Linked DNA regions of Oryctolagus cuniculus. The main gene of each other region encodes a partner of the protein of the gene in region 2 in a complex. Links are inferred from orthologs where the notes say so. Each region holds a gene or a part of one and is shown on either strand. Other genes may lie near its edges.

Evidence for each region.
Region 1: CNOT6 (region 2) and CNOT2 share a complex: the UniProt entries of both Homo sapiens proteins name them as parts of the CCR4-NOT complex. The link is inferred for Oryctolagus cuniculus from reciprocal best matches to the Homo sapiens genes CNOT6 and CNOT2.
Region 3: CNOT6 (region 2) and CNOT11 share a complex: the UniProt entries of both Homo sapiens proteins name them as parts of the CCR4-NOT complex. The link is inferred for Oryctolagus cuniculus from reciprocal best matches to the Homo sapiens genes CNOT6 and CNOT11.

Annotation. Positions count from the first base shown.
Region 1 is NC_091442.1:72,884,924-72,888,986, forward strand, and holds part of CNOT2 (CCR4-NOT transcription complex subunit 2), read left to right. Parts: intron 1-2,600; coding exon 2,601-2,662; intron 2,663-2,751; coding exon 2,752-2,801; intron 2,802-4,063. UniProt on the Homo sapiens protein: Component of the CCR4-NOT complex which is one of the major cellular mRNA deadenylases and is linked to various cellular processes including bulk mRNA degradation, miRNA-mediated repression, translational repression during translational initiation and general transcription regulation.
Region 2 is NC_091437.1:66,992,795-66,996,857, forward strand, and holds part of CNOT6 (CCR4-NOT transcription complex subunit 6), read right to left. Parts: intron 3,685-4,063; coding exon 3,527-3,684; intron 2,514-3,526; coding exon 2,359-2,513; intron 1-2,358. UniProt on the Homo sapiens protein: Poly(A) nuclease with 3'-5' RNase activity.
Region 3 is NC_091433.1:107,379,073-107,383,135, forward strand, and holds part of CNOT11 (CCR4-NOT transcription complex subunit 11), read right to left. Parts: intron 3,450-4,063; coding exon 3,285-3,449; intron 218-3,284; coding exon 65-217; intron 1-64. UniProt on the Homo sapiens protein: Component of the CCR4-NOT complex which is one of the major cellular mRNA deadenylases and is linked to various cellular processes including bulk mRNA degradation, miRNA-mediated repression, translational repression during translational initiation and general transcription regulation.

The sequences.
Region 1 (4,063 bases), on a different chromosome or scaffold from region 2:
GTTCCATTCCTTTTTTTTTTTTTTTTTTTTTTTACAGGCAGAGTGGATAGTGAGAGAGAGAGAGACAGAGAGAAAGGTCTTCCTTTTGCTGTTGGTTCACCCTCCAATGGCCGCCATGGCTGGCGCGCTGCGGCCGGCGCACCGCGCTGGTCCGGAGGCAGGAGCCAGGTGCTTCTCCTGGTCTCTCATGGGGTGCAGGGCCCAAGCACTTGGGCCATCCTCCACTGCCTTCCTGGGTCACAGTAGAGAGCTGGCCTGGAAGAGGGGCAACCGGGACAGAATCTGGCGCCTGACCGGGACTAGAACCCGGTGTGCCGGTGCCGCTAGGTGGAGGATTAGCCTATTGAGCCGTGGCCTCCATTCCTGTTCTGTTCTGATGAACCCAACTAGGGGAAAGTGCACAGGCTCACTGTCTGATTCCTTTTCATGTTTTGTGACCAGGACCTCAAAAATAGACCTTTAATTCTGCCAGACAGCATCATACCAAGGATACCTAGTCTATTCACTTTTTCGCTCTCATATATATAGCAGTTTTACACTTTCACAGACACTTAATATAAGAACTTGTAACTTTCCCTCTGTCCTATACTTGCTTTTTATTTCTGTTTCACTAAGAGAGGTGGAAATAATCAGAAGACAACATCAGCATAGTCTTGCCACCAAATCTTAGTACCTGCTGCCATCTACATCTACCTTATTGTTTTCTTGTTCTCTGTTACCATAGTCAATCCATGCTATTTATAACCTCTTATGAAAACTTAACAGTTTTCCACTCTTAGATGGTATCATTTCCAGCAGCATACAGATACACTGTTACTTCTCTTTTCAGAAGAAAAATTGTCTCTTGATCTGTCTCCTTGAATCACATGTCCATTTCTTTATTCTCCTTTGAAGCAAAACACAAAAGAATAATCTGACACTATTGGTGTAGCTGGTAAGGCCACTGCCTGTGGTGCCAGCATCCTATATGGATGCCCATTTGAGTCCCGGCTACTCCATTTTCAATCCAGCTCCCTGTTGCTGTGCTTGGGAAAGCACCAGAAGATAGCCCAAGTCCTTGGGCCCCTGCACCCAAGTGAGAGACATGGAAGAACCTCAGGGCTCCTGGCTTCAGACTGGCCCAGCTCCAGCTCTTGCGGCCATTTGTGGAGTAAACCAGTGGGTAGAAGTTCTCTGTCTAGCTCTACCTTTTAAATAAACAAATAATCTTTAAAAAAATTTTTCTGTTGAACTCATTCAATCATGGTTTTGCCTCTGCCACTCCACTGATATTAGCCTCATTCAGCTTATGAAATGACCCCCTTGTTGTTAAGTTCAGTGATCTCTTCTAGGAACTCTTCCTCCTTAATACACATTCTCATTTTAATTTGAGGACACCATTCTTACCTGACCTCACTGGTTGACCCTTCTTTATTTCCTTTGCTGATTCTTCCTTTTCTTCTTGACCCTTTTTGGTTAGAGCTCTACATTTGCTCCCTTGGTAGTCATTTGCGGAAGTCTTGTATTTTTAATTGATATATATATGGATATATACAGAATCTGAGTGTATCTTACTATTTTATACTGCTACCACCCTGGTTTGAATCATTATTCTTTGTAGCCTGGGTACTCTGTTAGTCACTCAACAACTATCTTTGATTATCCCTTTCTCCTTCCCAAGCAATCTCCTCTTCATATAGCAGCCAGGACAAACCTTTTTGAATAAGTTGCTCCTTTGTTCAGTACTCAGTAAGAGTTTGTAGTTTCATTAGGATTAAATATCCAAAGCCTTGCCTACAAGGTCTTCCTAGTGATCGTCTTTCCCATCATCCTTCCTCAGCAACTTTTCCCTTCGTTCACTGTGTCACAGCTTCCCTTTTCCTTCTGTGTATGGCAACCATGCCCTGCCTCAGTTGGTGTAGCAGTATCCTCTGACAAGAGCAGTTTTTTGCTCGGTAATTAATATGATTATCTCCTCCTTTTCCTTCAAGTTTTGTTAAGATCTGACTTCCTCAGTGATACCTTACCTGACCACACTACTTTAAATATGCAGCCAGTCTCTTCTCCCAAACCCTCCCCTAACACGGGCAATTATATATTGATCTATTATGCCAATTGTCTGCCTCCCTCCAGTCTGCCATCTTCAATCAGAAAGTTTCATGTTGTTAGTGATAATTATTTGTTCATTGATCCATCTCAAGCACCTAGAACAGTGCCAGACGTATAATAGGCACTCCGTAAATGGTGATTTTGAAACTGCTTTTCATACTGACATTTTATTCCCTGGCCACATAAATGGAAAAGTAGTTTAACTTAGGGGCATGATGAATTCAAAGCATTTTGAATTGAAACAGTTAAAAGCAGAACATTTTTATTTGTTAATACATGGTGTTACTAATGCTGTATGACTGTTGAGGGAAGTAGTCCTATTGTATTTTTCACATACATATTTGTTTTGGTTTCCTGCTGTTTAACTCATACTAAACCCAAGAAAAGGAATTAGAAGTAAAGAGGCTCATTTTATATTTTAAGTCTTTGTTTCTCCTGATTTTTCTGAAATAAAATTAGATATATTTTTTTCTACTTTGGACTTCAAATTGGTTTTTTTCCCCCTTTTTCAGAAATCTCTACCCCAAATTTGCGTCACCTTGGGCATCTTCACCTTGTCGACCTCAAGACATAGGTAGGAGAATCTATTTGTGTTGAGATCTTTTAAAAAGATATTTACAACTGAGAATCAGTTAATAAGGCTTTTTTCATTTTATTATCCAGACTTCCATGTTCCATCTGAGTACTTAACGAACATTCACATTAGGGATAAGGTGAGTGTAGTTTATTATTCTACTCAGTCAGCATGAATTTATTTTCCAGGTACTGTTTTTCAGTTCAGATAGCATAATATTTTTTAAATAATTAGTGTTCTGAGGGGTATGCTTTTGTATGTTCAGTTACATGTAACAATTTTACTTATTTTTGTTTATGCTAATGTTGATGATGTTTTCTATTTTAAAAACAAAACAATGATAGGACTGGTAAGCTATTTCTTGAATTAAATGACAGGGTACAACCATAACCACAGTTGATGGGAATAAGCTAATTTGATAAATTTCCTTCTGATTTTCTCATTTTATACACTTGTCAATAAGAATGATTTTACTTTACACATATTAACAGATTTGGTAATTTTAGTGAAGCATTATATATATATTTTTATAAAGTATTTATGACTTCTGGCTTTTTTCCCTGTATTTTTCTTTTTTTTAATTACCTAAAATTCTAATTGTATAATAATTAATCTTACTCTGTCTTTTTTCATCTAAGGAAAAAAATGCTAAACATTTTTCCTTGGAAGAACCAAGAGAGTTTATTTCTGTTAGGAAAAAAATGGTATCTAAATTTTTGCCTGGTGAAAGGATATGATTTAGTGAGAAAACAGAAGAGAGAGGACTTCAAAAAGTTCATGGAAAATGCACATTTTTTTTCTTTAAGATATATGAATGAAAGAGTTAGAGAGAAGGAGAGAGATCTTCCATCTGCTGTTTCACTCCACAGATGCCTACAATGGCCAGGGCTGGGCAGGCCAAAGCCAGGAGTCAGGTCTCTCACGTGGGTGCAGGAATCCAAACACTTGGGCCATCTTCTGCTGCTTTCCTAGGAACATTAGCAGGGAGCTGGATCAGAAGTGCAGCAGCTGGGACTCGAATTAGCACTCATATGGGATCCCAGCATTGCAGGTGGTGGCCTAACCCACTACAGCACAACGCCTGCCCCAAAATGTGCATATTTTGAAAAAACTATGCATGGGTTTCAAAATTTTTTGCACCAAAATAAACTTACCATCTAATTCTGTTCTGTGAACTTTTTGATGTACCCTCATATTTATGTTATACACATGTGTGTGTGTTTGTATGACAGCATTCTCAGTCTGTGCCATATAGGCAAGTAAAGGAATATGATACCTAAATAGATGGAAAGCAAGATTTATGAGATAGAGAAGCATCTAGTATTTTCTCTTTGTGGAGTATGTGATTTGCTGCTGTCTCTTCTTACTATCTCCACTAAAGATCTCTTTTGCTCCCTTTAC
Region 2 (4,063 bases):
ACACACACACACACACACACAAACATAAATTGGGATTACCAAAACTATGTGGGAAATGTAGCTACTCAAACTCCCTTAACAGATTACCACTTAAATCAAATTTTGGAAAACCTTCCAAACTATTATCAAGTATCCCACATCCATTTAAAGCTCTTCTCAGTTTGTGACCAACACAAATAACACCTTGAAATATCTTTATAACTTTTTTGGCCGGCGCCGCTGCTCAATAGGCTAATCCTCCACCTTGCGGCACCGGCACACCGGGTTCTAGTACCGTTCGGGGCACCGGATTCTGTCCCGGTTTCCCCTCTTCCAGGCCAGCTCTCTGCTGTGGCCCGGGAGTGCAGTGGAGGATGGCCCAAGTCTTTGGGCCCTGCACCCGCACGGGAGACCAGGAGAAGCACCTGGCTCCTGGCTTCGGATCAGCGCAATGTGCTGGTCGCAGCGCGCCAGCCACGGCGGCCATTGGAGGGTGAACCAACGGGAAAAGGAAGACCTTTCTCTCTGTCTCTCTCTCACACTATCCACTCTGCCTGTCCAAAAAAAAAAAAAAAAAAAAAAAAAAAAATCTTTATAACTTTTTTAAAATCTTATAAGATAATGTAGTCATCTTCTTTTTAGATTTCAATACTGGTATATCCCATTTTGTAATTTTTAAACAATTGTTTCCCAAAATATGGGTTTAGGAATCCCTCTACCATCCTAGAGGAATGTTAACTACATGGTTAGTTACAATTAACAACTGGAGTTAAATCCTAGTAAACACCTGAAGAAACAGCAGCACTTTAAACATCTCTGCAAAACAAGGTTATTTTTAATACATAAAAACAAACTCAGGGCAAGTGTGGTGGTATGGCAGTATAAACTACCACTTTGGAAGCCTGCATCCAATATCAGATCACCAGTTTAAGTCTGGGCTACTCCACTCTGATTCAGCGTCCTGCTAAAGCACCTGGGATGCAGTGGATGATAGTCCAACTACTTTAGTTCCTGCTACTCAGGTGGGAGAAATGTAGGGATTCCTTGGCTCCTGGCTTTAGCCCAGCCCCAGCTGCTGCAGCCATTTAGGAAGTGAACCAGCAGATGGAAGATCCCTCTCTCTCTCTCACTCCACTCTTCAAATATATAAACAAGTCAATCTTTAAAATAAAATAGACTTATTTATTAGAAAACTTCAGTTGCAGACAGGGAGATACAGAGAGATCTTCCATCTCCTGGTTCACTCCCCAGTTGGCCACAATGGCCAGGACTGGGCCAGACCAAACCCAGGAGCTTCAGTCAGGCCATCTTTTGCTATTTTTCCCAGGCCATTGGCAGGGAGCTGGATGAAGTGAAGCAGCCAGGAAGGACACTAATACACCCATAAGAGATGCTGCCATTGTAGGCAGCAGCTTTACCCACTATGCCACAATGAGGGCCCCAATAAATAAATCTTTTTTAAGAAGGCAAAAAATACACCCCTAAATCAATAGCATTGTTTTCTTGAGTAATAAATTTCTGTTATTTATCAAATAATGACCCTTGAGAACTTTTTTCTTTTTAGAAAACAAGATGAAGGGGCTGACATTGTGGTACAGCAGGTTAAGTTGCTGCTTGCAATGCCATGACCCCATATCAGAGTGCCAAGCTGAGCACCAGCTTCTCTTCTGATCCAGCTTCCTGCTCATGTGCCTGGAAAAGCAACAGATAATGATCAGCTCATGAGGGAGACCAGAATGGAGTTCTAGACTCCTGGCTTCCACCTTGTCTAGTCCCAGCTTTTGCAGGCATTTGGGGAGTGCCTTCTCTGTCACTCTGCCTTTCAAATAAATCAACGGTCTGGCCTACAAAATCATTTGGTCTGACCCTCCCAAGGCAATCATAGGCGGGACTTGAAATTCAGTAAATCTATAGCAGGCTAATTGCTGATATTTTTATGGCCCAGGGGGCCTGCACAGTGGTGTAGCAGGTAAAGCCACCTCCTGCAGTGCCCGCATCCCATATGGGCGCCGACTTGAGTACCAGCTGGTCCACTTAGGATCCAGCTCTCTGCTGTGGCCTGGGAAAAGAGTGGAAAATGGCCCAAGTCCTTGGGTCCCTGCACCTGCTTGGGAGACCCGGAAGAAGCTCCTGGACCCTGCCTTCAGATCAAGTCCACCTCCAGCCGTTGTGGCCATTTGGGAAGTGAACCAGCAGATGGAAGACTTCTGTCTCTCTGCCTTTCAAATAAATAAATCAGTCTTTAATTAAAAAAAAAAATTTTTTTAATGGGCCATGAATGGTACTATAAATATCCAAATGGCCCTTGGCAGAAAAAAGGTTCCCCACCCCAGAAATAAATAAATAAATCTTTATAAAAAAAGTTTTAAGATGACTTACTTTTCTACCTTGAAGAATATTGCACAACCATCAACATGTTTTCTTTCTTGTTCTGACATTGTCCTAGCTCGAGACTTAGGACTAAAGAATCCATTATACCCACGTTCTTTCAGTTCTACCAGAAAGAAACTGTAATACTGTTCCGTTTCAACCTCCTGAAAAATGGTAAATGGCAAAGTTATTACACAAGACAAAAATCAGTTCTAGGTACTAACTTTATATGAATAGTTTGAGAGCCTGAAGTAACTCCAAAGGACAGATCTGTAAACTAAAAAATGTAATATCATTTCAACGAAACTTGAATATCTACTTGTCGTTTTACAGATACTAGTTGCCAGGGTCAATTCCCTACTGTTCAGGAGTAAGGAATGGACAATCATATATGCCTATAAATGTCAAACCAATGTGAACTAAGAATCAAGAGTTGAACAGAGCTTCACAGATCACAACTTCAGATCCATGAGGAGAAAGCGACTTGCCCAGGATTTCACATGTCCTTACGAAAGAAGTAATGGAAACCCAATGATAGCACATGCTAGGTCTGATCCTTTGACCACTATGCCCTAATTATTCTGATGACAAGGCAAAATTATACCTTGGCAATATCACAATTTTAATGACTTTGCCATTCAATTAAAAAAGTGTATAGGGACACTGGAGTGAGACAGAAGGTGAGTATTTAGCTGTCAGAGCAAATGATTATAACCCAGCTTAACCTATTTGCTTTGGCAGTGCTGGGCTACAAACCGAAGCAGGTACAGCTAGTTTGTGTCGAGACTGCTGCTCTTCTAATCCAGCTCTCTGCTAATGGCTTGGGAGAGCAGCAGAAGATGACTCAAGTACTTTGGCCCTCGTATCCACATGGAAGACCTGGAGGCTGCTGGCTTCCAGCTCTGGCTGTTACGGCTATTTGGGGGAATGAAACCAGTGGATGGAAGACCTTTCTGTGTCTCCCTCTCTCTGTCTGTAACTCTGCCTCTCATATAAATCAATAGAATCTTTAAAAAAAAAAAAAGTTCAATAAAAGAAGAAAATAGGCAGTATTTTAAGAACCATTGAAGCTATGACTTCAAATGTGCCCATGTACTTCTACCAGTATACCTGAACCTTGCTTTATTAATGCTGAGGAATTTATGCTATTTATTTATACAACTTCTGTACGACTTACCTGAAGGCTTATGATATCAGCATTGCAGCTCAAGATTTCTTGAATAATGGCCTTTTTCCTGTAGTCCCAATTTAATGCCCATGATGGACAATAGCCGTATAACTGCCGGGTCGCATATTTATCACAAAGAACATTATAGCACATGACAGAAAACAAGGCTGTAGGAAAAATAACTTTACTTATTCACACACGTGACAGAAAACAAAAATGTAATTTCAGTAAAACCTTCATGTAAATATTAAGTTTTACTTTATTATTTAATTTAAGTTCTCTGAACAGTTATCGTATGCCAGACAAGGGGGATAACATAAGGAGGAGAGATGATGAACAAATTAGAATGGTAGGTGCAGAATGTTTGGAAGCTAAAAAGACTAAGATGCTGGGTCCTTTACTCTCTAAGACTAACATTCCTAATTTCCATACCCCCTCCTCCAGGCATTGTGGAAACTTGACACATTATTAAGCTTCCTTAATAGGCATGTCTAGTTTTCTTCCTTAAAGCAACTATGTGATGTTAACTCATACAAAAAAGGAGAA
Region 3 (4,063 bases), on a different chromosome or scaffold from region 2:
AAAGTCTTAGGGGCACTGGTAGCATAAAACCAAGAGCAGGAAATAACTTTATACATATACCTACTTTCAATAGGTGGCTTTGGTCCGCTGACTAAAGCTTCCGTGATCTGAGAAGCAACTGAGCTGTCGAATCCAGAATTGGAAGAATCCGGGTCTGGGTCACTGAGAATACTAGGGAAGCTGGCTTTGCTTTGGGTTGGCAATTCAGACTGGCGTTCTGGAAAAGGGTACAGGAGGAAACTTGTAAAACCGAGGGCACCAAGAGGCAATAGAAAAGACAGACTAACCGGAGGAAGCTGTCTGCAACACACCAAGATAAAAGGCCAAAGGGCCAGACTCTGTGTATGCATAATATATTCTTAAACTGCTACAAATCAACTTGGAAAAAAACAGGAAAAGTTAGACTAATGAACAGGCATTTTACAAGGAAGCTTAAGTGACTAATAAACAGTTGAAGCTATTTAATCCCATAGGAACCTAGGGGAATTCAGTTAAAGCACAGGATAACACACACTCACCAGGACTGACCAGTTAATGAGGGTGTTATTATCAAGTGCAGAGGACATAGGGTCACACACACTGCTCCTGGGGATGAAAAAAGGCATGGCGACTTTGGAGGACAGTGTGACATTACCTGCTGCTATGATGTGGATTTGGTTTATCCCCCAAGGGTCCCCAAAAGTTAGAAGGTGTTATCAGCTGGGTCCCCAGGGCCTAGCAGGAGATCCTTGGGTCACTGGAGATTTGCCTTCAGAGGGGATCTGGATCCCCGGGACCCTTGAGTTCTCAGGAGAGGGTTACTGTAAAAGGGGCAAGCCTGGCACACACGCCACACCTTCACCAGACCCTGTGCCACATAAGCTTTCAAAACCATGAGGTAAATACACTTCTCTTTCTAAGGAACAGGTGTGAGGTATTTTGTTAACGTAGCAAAAAGCTGAGTAACACACCTAGTGAAGTGTGACACGTGCCTATCTTTCCAAGAGGAAACACAGGAGTCTTGGCAATGCTCGCAGCTTAAACAACCGATATCCTACTGCACGAACATACCAACAGCAGTGACAGGCAGCCACGGCAGAGACTCGGCGCCACCCTGCACTCCGAGCTCAACACTCAACAGGAGGAGAGGCCCAGTGAGGAAACCTGTACCCAGTGCATGAAGTAGGCAGGGGCGGGGGGGAAGGCGGGAAGGCCGGCAAGCAAACGGAGACAGCGTATCATGGACGGACGTCAGGCTAGTGATGGGGGGTGAGGGGGCAGCAGGCAGCAGCCTCCATTCCCTAACCTGGGCTGGCCGCTGCTGTGGTTTACCGCGTGACAAGCCCTCCAAGCAGCTGTGGTCTGGATTGTGTCATTTTAAACAAAGAAGGCTCAATCCTCATTAAGGAGCTACAAAAGTCCATGAAAGACCATAAGGCAAATGGAGGAAAAAGCCCAGAGACATAGAAAGAACCCTCAGAACACACATCAGCTAAGAGGGGGAGCTGCCTAATGCTGCCTATCCCCTCGGCACCAGCCAGTTTTCATACTATCTCTGGTTAAGGAAACCACCATTTGCTTTCTAGTAGATCATATCTGGCACTAGAGGCTAACGAGTATTTTTGTGTTCCTTTGGCCTTCAAAGTCTTTAAGATTTTATTTATTTGACAGGTAGAGTTACAGACAGTGAGAGGGAGAGAGAGAGAAAGGTCTTCCTTCCATTGGTTCTCTCCCCAAATGGCCACCATAGCCGGCGCTGCACGGATCCGAACCCAGGAGCCAGGAGCTTCTTCCGCATCTCCTACAAGAATGCAGGGGCCCAAGCACTTGGGCCATCCTCCACTGCCTTCCCAGGCCACAGCAGAGAGCTGGACTAGAAGAGGAGCAACTGGGACTAGAACCCAGCACCCATATGGGATGCCAGCGCTGCAGGCAGAGGATTAACCAAGTGAGCCACGGCACTGGCCCCAGCCTTCAAAGTCTTAAGAAGATTTCTCTTGCTTTCAGAAAATAACCATTGGTATACTGATATACTCCAGTTAAAAAGTGCTGTTCAGACTGTTCCAAAGAGAAGTAAGTTACTACAACACGTGGCCTTGTATTAGAAGCCCAGTGTGTGCTATATGGGGTCTGAGGATAGGGCACTGTCAACATTACTCTGCAGCTCACTCACAATATCAAGGGTTTGCAAATCTAGTGACATGTTACAGTTGCCCAAGTGAGAAGCTGGTGCTGTGGCACAGCGGCCAAAGCTGCAACACCAACATCCCATATGGGCACCGGTTCTAGTCCCGGCTGCTCCTCCACTTCCGACCCAGCTCCCTGCTAATGGCCTGGGAAAGCAGTAGAAGATGGCCCAAGTCCTTGGGCTCCTGCACCCACCCAGCGGAAGCTCCTGGTTCCTGACTTCAGATCAGCTCAGCTCCAGCCATTGTGATCATGTGGAGAGTGAACTAGTGAACTAGTGGGTGGAAGACCTCTCTTTCTTTGCCTCTCTATAACTGCCTTTCAAATAAATAAATAAATCTTTAAAAGTAATAACTGCCCTAGTAAATCCCTCTTGCGTGACAAGAGCTGTGTTGTAGAGTAGGCAAGCAAAGATCCTCTGATTTCTCAGAACTCAGACAGCCTGACCCTGAACAGAAGCTACAGCAGGTCTTATTATTATTTTCTGTCATCACCCACTGTCTGCTTCAGAACCCTCATTCATTTGTTTATGTGTAGCACAGAATATTCCAAAACAACCCTGAAAAAGAAGAACAAAATTGGAAGTGTTAACACTTCCTGATTTCAAAAATTAGTACAAAGCTGCACTAATCAAAACAGTGTGGTACTGGCAAAAAAGACACACAAGTACAAACCAAGAGAACACACTAGAAAGCCCAGAAATAAACCCTGGCAAACAGGAGAGAAGGACTTTCGACAAGGATGCCAAGAAAACAGTTTTGGCTCCTTAGGGTCTCTTGAAATTCCTTTGGATTTTTGTTACTTCTGCATAAAATGTTGCTGGGATTTTGACTGGAATGGCCCTGAATCTGTAGATTGTTTTGGGTAGTACTGACACCTTAACAAGTGAGTCTTCAATCACAGGATTATTTTTAATAGAAACTAAACGTTAGCCAGCATTCCTCTACAACGGGAAAAGCAGTCATTTCAAGTGAAAACTCAAAATGTTCTCAGAGGCCCCATTAGCATCAAAACAGGACGTGCCCTCAGGAGCCTGTGCTGAAACGACATTTTTTATGGAAGTAGAGACGCAAAGCTAAGAGGACCAGCACTACCACCCCCGGAGGCCCACGGCTCACCCGCCAAGGCTAGCTGAAGTCCGCTGATGTCCACAGACTGGCCCATGTTTCCGACGTCCATCAGCGCGATCTGGCGAGGGGTCTTTTTGAAGAGTTCCCTGGGCGGTGCCAGCATCAGCTGGGAAAGAAAGAACTTTTCCGGTGGAGTTATAGGAGGTAAAAACCCTGGAAACAGAAACGCACAACAATTTCTCCAGTGGCTAATTTTAAACATTAACCTGAATCTGGTAAAACTAGCATTTGCTATGTGCTACCTCAACCCCCATATTTTTAAAGACTAAATTACAAGTAAGTTTCAATTAGCCAAATAAATACATTGATGACCGGTGTAACTAAATTTGGCATTTGAAAATTCTATGATCTGCGGCACCATCAGCCAAACTAAAGGTTTTAGTAACTATTAAGAACTTCACTTTGGGGCCAGCGTTGTGGCACAGTTGGTAAAGTCACCACCTGCAACACTGGTCTCTCATATGGACGCTGGTTCAAGTCCCATCTGCTCCACCTCCAAACCAGCTCTCTGCTACTGCACCTGGGAAAGCAGGGGAAGATGGCCCAAGTGTTTGGGAAGCTGTATCCACATCGAAGACCTAGAAGAATCTCCTGGCTTTGGCCTGGCCCAGTCATTGTGGCCAGTTGGGGAGTGAACCAATGGATTGAAGATCTCTCTCTCCGTCCCTAACTCTGCTTTTCAAATAAATAAAACAAACCTTTAACAACAGCAACAAAAACAACTTCATTTCCCAAGATGCCTCAAATCCTTTCATGATAAAGCTTAC